Linked DNA regions of Chlamydomonas reinhardtii. Each later gene encodes a partner of the first gene's protein in a complex. Links are inferred from orthologs where the notes say so. Each region holds a gene or a part of one and is shown on either strand. Other genes may lie near its edges.

The links.
Region 2: the proteins of CHLRE_12g555250v5 (region 1) and CHLRE_16g673109v5 are in contact, whole or in part, in a cryo-EM structure (PDB 8BEE), measured with the Arabidopsis thaliana proteins. The link is inferred for Chlamydomonas reinhardtii from reciprocal best matches to the Arabidopsis thaliana genes AT3G12260 and mtACP2. Residues at the interface, in NP_566416.1 of Arabidopsis thaliana: Phe27, Asp28, Phe30, Arg31, Cys34, Arg35, Arg56, Tyr57, Ser60, Ile63, Arg64; in NP_176708.1 of Arabidopsis thaliana: Phe61, Gln62, Asp82, Ser83, Leu84, Asp85, Val87, Glu88, Met91, Ala92, Glu94, Glu95, Glu100, Ile101, Asp103.

Annotation. Positions count from the first base shown.
Region 1 is NC_057015.1:7,575,425-7,579,816, forward strand, and holds CHLRE_12g555250v5 (uncharacterized protein), read right to left. Parts: upstream 2,927-4,392; 5' UTR 2,766-2,926; coding exon 2,676-2,765; intron 2,538-2,675; coding exon 2,415-2,537; intron 2,225-2,414; coding exon 2,183-2,224; intron 2,031-2,182; coding exon 1,995-2,030; intron 1,692-1,994; coding exon 1,566-1,691; 3' UTR 371-1,565; downstream 1-370. Other genes in the region: CHLRE_12g555300v5 (uncharacterized protein), read left to right, coding at 1-100, 201-313; CHLRE_12g555200v5 (uncharacterized protein), read left to right, coding at 3,058-3,191, 3,312-3,361, 3,653-3,743, 3,851-3,910, 4,054-4,162. UniProt on the Arabidopsis thaliana protein: Accessory subunit of the mitochondrial membrane respiratory chain NADH dehydrogenase (Complex I), that is believed to be not involved in catalysis. Complex I functions in the transfer of electrons from NADH to the respiratory chain.
Region 2 is NC_057019.1:3,471,753-3,475,130, forward strand, and holds CHLRE_16g673109v5 (uncharacterized protein), read left to right. Parts: upstream 1-1,596; 5' UTR 1,597-1,698; coding exon 1,699-1,908; intron 1,909-2,025; coding exon 2,026-2,202; 3' UTR 2,203-2,801; downstream 2,802-3,378. Other genes in the region: CHLRE_16g672753v5 (uncharacterized protein), read right to left, coding at 1-77, 337-479, 597-685, 767-870, 1,034-1,107, 1,187-1,239. UniProt on the Arabidopsis thaliana protein: Carrier of the growing fatty acid chain in fatty acid biosynthesis. May be involved in the synthesis of short and medium chain fatty acids.

The DNA.
Region 1 (4,392 bases):
GGCGGCCGCAGCCCGGGTGCCGCGGCCCAGCCCCAGCAGCACCAACAGCACACGCAACAGCAGCAGCAGCAGCAGTACTTACCCAGTGCTCCTGGCCTTGGTGCGCAGCCTGGATACCCTGCCGGGGGCAACGGCTACGCACAGGGCACATGGGCGGGTGCCGTCAGCTCGCCGCACTACCCTTACGGTGGCGGCTACAGCCACCAGCTGCCCGCCTCGTCGCCGGTGGGCATGGGCACCGGCATGCTGCTACAGCCGCCCGCATCGCCGCGGCCGCCCGTGGGATCCCTCATGGCGGGCGGGCCGCCGCTGACGCATATGCGCAGCGCCCCGCCTCAGCCGCCGTCAGCTCCTGCCCCTGCGGGGCAGCAGCCGCAGCCGCAGTGGCACTCCACGCCGTCGGTTCCGTCTGGCGGCACGCACGTGGGACTGACGCCAGGATACGGTCAGCCGGTTGCGGGCAGCAGCCACTGGCCGGCCTACCTGCAGGCGATGGCTTCACCGCAGCACTACACGACGGCGGGGCCGCCGGCGCGCTCCTCGCCGCAGCCCTGGTCACACCCGCCATCCGCGCAGCTGCAAGGGCAGACACTCGGCCACTGGGCGGCTGCGCCGCCAGCATCCTACTACCCTCCGGCTGGCTACAGTGGGGACCCGCAGTTTGCTGCCAGCCCGGCGCATCAGACGCAGCAGCTGCAGCCGCAGCAGCAGCAGCCACTGCGTGCAAGTCTGGGGTCGGTGAGCGCGCTTGGCACGATGTCGTTCTACGCCTACCCAAGCCACACAGCCGCGCCGCCGTCGCCGCACGCCCATGCAGCCATGGGGTACCACCCAGCGCCAGGCCCGTATCAGCAGCTGCAGTCAGTTGCTCCGCACCAGCAGTCACCGAGCGCATGGCCTGCTGTCGCTCCCACTCCGGTGACACCAGCTGATACATACGCTTACAACGTCAGCCCGCAGAGCCCCACCTCGCACAAGCACACGTCGGGGCAAGCGTTTGCGCCCGACCAGCGCATGCCATACGCGCAGCACCTGCTCTACGCGTACGCGCGCTAGGCATGCCTCAAGCCATTCTCGTTGCAAGTGTGAACACAGCTTAAACTAATGCATGGACGCTTGTCCATTCTTGTGATCAATGCTAGTATAAAAGCTTGCCGAAGTCATCCTGTAAGCTGCTTGCACGTGTCTCTACGCCTCTACATCCCTCAATTCCCTGCTCAGACAGCTTAGCAACGCAGCACTCTGCCGTTGCCCTGTCAACAGCTAACACAAGCCTATGCGTAATCCCTACTCATTATCTCGTCATCATAAGCCAGTGCCGGCCAGGCTTTGCCCGACCAGCTGTAAATCGTCCAGCACCACAGCCGTCACCAACCAGCCCTAGCTTCAGCCGGCGGCCACTACCACACGCCACTGCGCGCCTCCAAAATGGTGTGTTGTGGAAACCCTCCCCACATACCCTTCACAACATCCTCCAGCACCAGCCAGATAGCTCACTCCCGTCGCCGCCTCAATCTCAGAAGCCGCGCTGTACCGTGCGCCCTGTCCGCTGTCGCTGTTCTCGTTTATGAGTTGCGCACGCCAATGGCCGCGTAACCGGACGACAGGAAGCTGTCCAGGAAGGGGCTGTTCGTGGTCACCTTCTTCACCGCGCGCTGCTTGGCGTAATAGGGCTCCACCACCTCCGTCACCTGTTGTGTAGCGGCGGTGTGTTGTATAACTTGTATGATTAATAGGAAAGCGCAAGGAAAATGGGGCCGACACCGTGCGTGCGAAGTATTGTTTGCCAACAAGAATCGCACCCAATACACGTGTATGTCAGAGTGGAGTGGGAGTGTGGGGGTGGTGCACCAGCGGCGGCGCTCCCACGGCTCAGGCTGCGCTGCCACTGCCCGCAACGCCCTGCGGGAGTGAGCTGCGCTGCCCATCCACCTAGCAACTACACGCCTGGCACCAGCGCCAGTCCCCAGCCGCCAGGGCGGGGCCCCGCTCACCACGTGGTGCCGCTGCTTGTGCATGAGCAGGTAGGTCTGCGCCGGGGGCGGGGCAGGGGCGGCAGTAGGCGGCGGTCCGCGGTCAGCACCACGGCGCCAGTCAGCACGAGCTATATCGGCACGCCCGATGTAGGCCCAGCACCCTGGCCACAGGGTTGGCAGAGAAGCCCCGGCATCTTGGCTCTCACCTCAATCTCCTCGCGGCCCTTGAAGATGAGCAGGTCCACCACCTGCACGCATTCGGGCGACAGCAAAGCCCCGTTCAGCATCAGCCCCACCTGCTCAAGACCGCTGCCCCAGCCCCAGCCCCAGCCCGCTGCGCCTTTACCAGTTTACCCCCCCCCCCCGCTCCGTCCCACCCCCCCACTCCGCTGTCCTCCCGCGTTCGGTTGCTGTGCATGCAACATGGGCGCGACCCACCCGCCCGTCCTTGACGTCCTTGTACTCCTTGAACTTCTCCTTAACGATGGCACGCAGCTCCTTCAGCGACACCATCTCCTCCATTTTGTGCAGCCGCTGAATGAACGGCAAGCACCGGCAAATCTGCGACGCAACCGGCAGTGCTTGTTGACTGCACGTCCTCGCTAAGGGTCTGGGCATGCCACTCTGCGAGACTCGGCGTGACATCCCCACGCCAGCAGCAGCAGCCCCGGGCATGGCTCCCATGGCATCGCAGCCCACCTCAAAGTAGAAATGCCGAGCAGCACCCCCGAACAGGCGCTTGTCCTGGTGCGCGACCTCCACTGCCTTCTGAGCAAGTCGGGACGACATGGCTACAGCTTCTTGAGCAAGTATGACCTAATCGTATGACCTAACGTTAAGTCGCGACACTCCTCAGGGCGGACTCCCTGGGTTGGCCTGCCAGGCAAACTCTCAATCGGCAAGGCCTACAGTCACAGCACCCAAGTGGGGAGCTCCAGCAGTCTTTGCAGTATAAAATGACTAGATGTCCGAGCCCTGCGCAAGCCCCAGCGCAATGTCCACTGTGCATGGGAATGGGGGCCCCAACCTTTGTGTTTAGTTTTGTTTGCCCAGACTGGAAAATTTACTATGCGTACTTAGAATGGCACGATGGAATACTGACCCTAGCGGGGCCAATACGGTCGTTGCGCCTGTGGTGCGCACACCGAAAGCTGCTCGTAGCGTAGGCCTCGATGCGCTCCTTACAGTGATCTCGGTTGCTGCATTAAATTCAAGGTCAGCGAATGACTGTCATATACACGGCGCTCAAACTAGCTCAAAGGACGGGTTCCCGCCATGGTGGCTGTCTCCACGGGCTTTCTTTTAAACAGCTTGCCCATTTTCTTATGCGCACAGATCTACACTCGTATCGCTTCTGCCAGTGCCATGGCTGCGCCTGGTTTTCCGTGAGTCGGGGTGGAGTGGAGCCGGTCGACACAGGGGGGGCGTCTGCAGGGTGGAAGGGGGATAGCACAGTTAGCGCGGGCCAGAGCTACTGGGAAGCATGCTGCGCCGGTGGGGGTTGTGACGGGTGAAGCGCATTGCACGTTGGCAGCAATACGTGGGTGGGGCACCACAGCGGGAGGGACACGCTCTATGCGGGGCTCACGCTTAAGAAACGCAGGGGTGAGGTTGTGTGCGGTGTCGCTCAAGGTAGTTCCTGTTTGGGCCGACATGCCCTTTCACCTGGTGCACAGAGCTGTTGCTGTGGCTGCTGCCGCTGGTGTTCAGCGGGCGAGCCCTGGACACGCTGGTCCGCTGGCGCAACTCCCAGGCAGCCGTGAGAGTGTGAGTGGCAACGTCAAGAGAGCGGCGGGGGTTGGGGCCTGGTCCATGCTTCCACGCTCCTTGCTAACCACGTAGCTTGTCCTGTCTTGTGGCCATCATGCATGCAGTCAGGATAACGTGACCGGCAACAAGCGGAAGCTGTACGGGCTTGCGCCCCCGCCGGCCAAGTAAGTATTCTGCCGTGCTGACAGTGTTGTTGCCTGGCTTGTCGCCATGTACTGCTGCATGCGTGCATGGTGCCACGCGGTCCCACCCTCCGACCAGTTGCGCGTGCAAGCATTATGCTCTTGCCTCATCTTGTACCCTGTAGGGTGGAGCCGCTCCGGCAGCGGAGGCCGTTCTCCCTCACCCCAGCGCGCGAAGGCGGCGCAGCCGGGGCGGCACTGCAGCGGCAGCTCACGCCCATCACGCCGCCGCAGGTGGGTGTGACCTCAGTCCGCCATGTTGCGAGCGGTGTCGCACGCGCACGTGTGTAGGCCACCGGCCTTTGCATGCATGGTGGACTGGTGGGCTGTGGCGCCGGGGCTGGGCAGGTCTTTACGGCGGGGCAAAGCACCTCTGTCACATGCCTAACACCCTGGTCGTAAGAATGATGTTCTGTGTAGCTGGCTTTATGCACCACCCGGACTCCCGTCTCCCTCACCCTGCC
Region 2 (3,378 bases), on another chromosome or scaffold:
TCATGTCGGTGTAAGCTCAGCATACCTCCATAGGAGCGACGAAAAAGCCTCCTTCGACAGACGGGATTGCCACACACCTGCACACCATGGGCAACAACACACAATAATCAGTCACACACGCGCGCCTGATATGTTGTGACGTTACAGGAGGGGCAATCTGCGTGCGCAAGCACGCAGAGACCAACGAATGCTGCCAGGGCCAAACTTGGTTCCACAGACCTTACTGCTGCTGCAAACACTCCTTGCCAGAAGTCTAGCACTCCACGCACTGAGTCAAAACTCAGCCCAAGTAGATCCGCCTTACATGCTAGCAGGAAACTGCGCGAAGGCACTTACTCGCGCTCCAGCCGCCAGCTGCGGCCGCTGTCGAGCCTGACTTGGCCAGCACCTTGGAGTCGTACTTCACCTCCCGCCCGCCCTCCAGAAGGGCAGAGTAGTCCTGCGCCAGCTTGGGTAAAATCATGGGCAGGCCGCCCGTCCTGCAAACAGAAGGATTGTGCCTTGCAGATATGAGCAAAACAGCGGAAACATCATGGAAGCCTCAAGTTGCTCGTGCATCTCGTCCATCAGTGGCGCCAAAGCACTGTAGTGCTCACATGGACGGTGCAGCAGCCTTCGCCGCGGCAACAGCTGCCAGTGCGATCGCATCCAGAGCCGCCGCATGCAGGTCGGCACCCATGTTCGCCTGCATGCCCAGTCACACGTTACGATGTTGTGCGCAGCTCTTCATAATACGATGCCAGAACTAGCCTTCTCCAGTGCATACCTGGCGTGCGCTCTTGGAATTTATTTGCTCCTGGTTTGCTGAGCGGTATCTGCGCACTTGCGCCTCGGTGCGCTCGATATCCACATTGTTGGACAGCCGCCAAACTGTTGCGTGCACATTGGAAATACGTTCGCATTACGGAGGGACTGCTGGGTACGGGTCAGCAGGGCGCAGTGCAAGGTACCTGCGGATTGGCCTGTCCCCCTGTGCCCCATAACGCTGTAACTGTACTCAATATACGGAAACCCAGTTGTGCTGGTACTCAACTGATGTCCTCCACTTCTTCCAGGTAGTCATCGAACTTCTCCTTGCTGTCAAAGTCATCCCGGTCCTTGTTGTATCTGCATCCAAGCGAGGGCTTGTCCGTCACGCAGGCGCGCTGGGCACCAGCATGTCGGCAGTGCGACTCCCACAACCTACATGGCCAATATACGACGGCGCACTTTCAGCTCCTTTTCTAGGTCAATTTCCATGGTCAACTAGCAGGATGGCCCCACGAATATGGTGGGAGGGCTGCTTTGCGTTGGCACGGTGCGTGCACTCGGCACGGTGTTTGGGTGGCGTGGGGCGGGGTCGGCGCGCGTTGATACCCCCAAATGTCACAGACAGATTTAGGTTCCCATGCGTTGAATGGGTCGCTGACTCCCGTGAAAGCTATATTGCGATTCGCGCGGCAATGTGTGCCCTTCGCCGTGCGCAGACACGGTGTGCCAATTAAGATGAAAAACTGTAATTCCAACCATGTAATTTCATCAGTCGAATTGCACTGGGGAATGGAAAGGAGAAAAACAGAGTGCATGGGCTGCCCATTCCGTGAACTCTACCGTCTCCTATGCGCGCCTTGTGCTGTTATTACTGGATGTGCTAAAGACTACGCTGCGTTGTTAGAAGGAAGCTATCCGTTTTCGCTGTCCTGATTTCTTCTTGGCACAATGGCCCTCTCTTCTGCTGCCAACGTGGTCCGGTCGGCTGTTCTGCAGCACTTGCGCGTGACTGTGACCTCCAGCCTTCAATCGAGCTCTCTGCCGACCTTCACCAACATAATCAGCCGTGGCTTTGGTGGTGGCTTCCTGGACAAGGATTCCGTCACGGAGCGCGTGCTGCACGTCACAAAGCACTTTGAGAAGATTGATGCATCCAAGGTGCGTGGGCTCTCGCGGTCCTTGTACGTTTTAAGATGGCGCTGAAGCTCGTTGCCGCGTCCACCGACATGCATGCGCGCTAACCATGCGTTCATTGCATGCGCTGATCATTCTTAGGTGAGCCCGGCGGCCTCTTTCGAGAAGGACCTGGGCCTGGACAGCCTGGACGTGGTGGAGCTGGTCATGGCATTGGAAGAGGAGTTTGGCCTGGAGATTCCGGACGCTGAGGCAGATAAGATTGCTTCCGTGGGTGACGCTATCAACTACATCTGCAGCAACCCTATGGCAAAGTAGAGCAGCGGCGATGATGGCACGTTGCACGCGATGTGGAGCGCAGGGCGGCAGGGCGGCAAGGTTTGGCTTATGGCTTCAACGGTAGGGTAGGGGTGTTTCAGGGCTTGGGGTTTAAGCGAGGTTGAAGGGGTGAAAGCAGCTGGCCGGCAGCAGAAGTGAGTAAGAGTAGGACTGCAGCCTTGTTGGGTATGCCCCCACGGCCCGCACTGGCGGCTGAGTTGCCGCAGTTGTGCCAACTGGTTGAGAGTGCGTGTGTCGTGCCCTGCTGATGTGCGGAAACACCTTTCGTGGTTTCCCAAGATGGGAGTCATAGTGTTAGGTTCGTGTGGTTGTGACGAGCACCACCGCGTATGAGCATGAGCATGTGATGAACGGGTAGATGCGAGTTGTTTACGTGGACATAGGATTGGCATGTAGGCGCATGTACAACTGGCGCACGTTTACCTTCAGTGGTGTCCAGGTGGCTGTAACAGTACGGGGCACGCTCGGTGTGCGCATCCCGACCGCCCAGCCCAACCCCACGACAGGCCGACTGGGCCAAGACTCGGCTCGGCACGTGCGTGTGCTGTGCAGCTTTAGTGGTGTAACAGAACCGCTCCCAGTAGTCATGGGCAAGAGAGGAAGTTCACCAGAAGGGAGGGAGGCAGACTTGACGAAGGGCACAGTGGCAGTCAACGAAGGGAGCCGCTTAGGTCCAACTACCATCACCATTTGACGGACGTTGACCGCGGCAAACCCGCCAACCCCACCAACCACATGGCAAACAGGCGGGCCCTTGATAAGGATAGATCTTGCAGGCGGTGTCCGTATCTAGTAGATGCCCTGAGGCCTGCGGCTTGTAGCTGACCCATAGTCCCATACGGCAGTCCTGGCGACCCGGCGCGCTGGGATCGACAGTGCAATCCTGACCCCACGAGAATCAGACACGCCCATGCCCAGTTCTTCCTGAACCCCGCACGGCAAGGCCCGTACGGCGGTTGGGCAAACTTTGGACAAAGATTCTGACAAGACAGGCGACTGGTGTGGGGGGCAGGTAAAATTCAATTTCTTGTGGGACTTTCGTCCCAACCACTTTTGTGGGGTTTCTCCTACAGCCCACCCGGGGCAGCCCGGGGCCCACCCTTGCCAGCTCCCCTGCTCATACCAGAGGTTCAAAGCACGCCATGCAATCTCCCA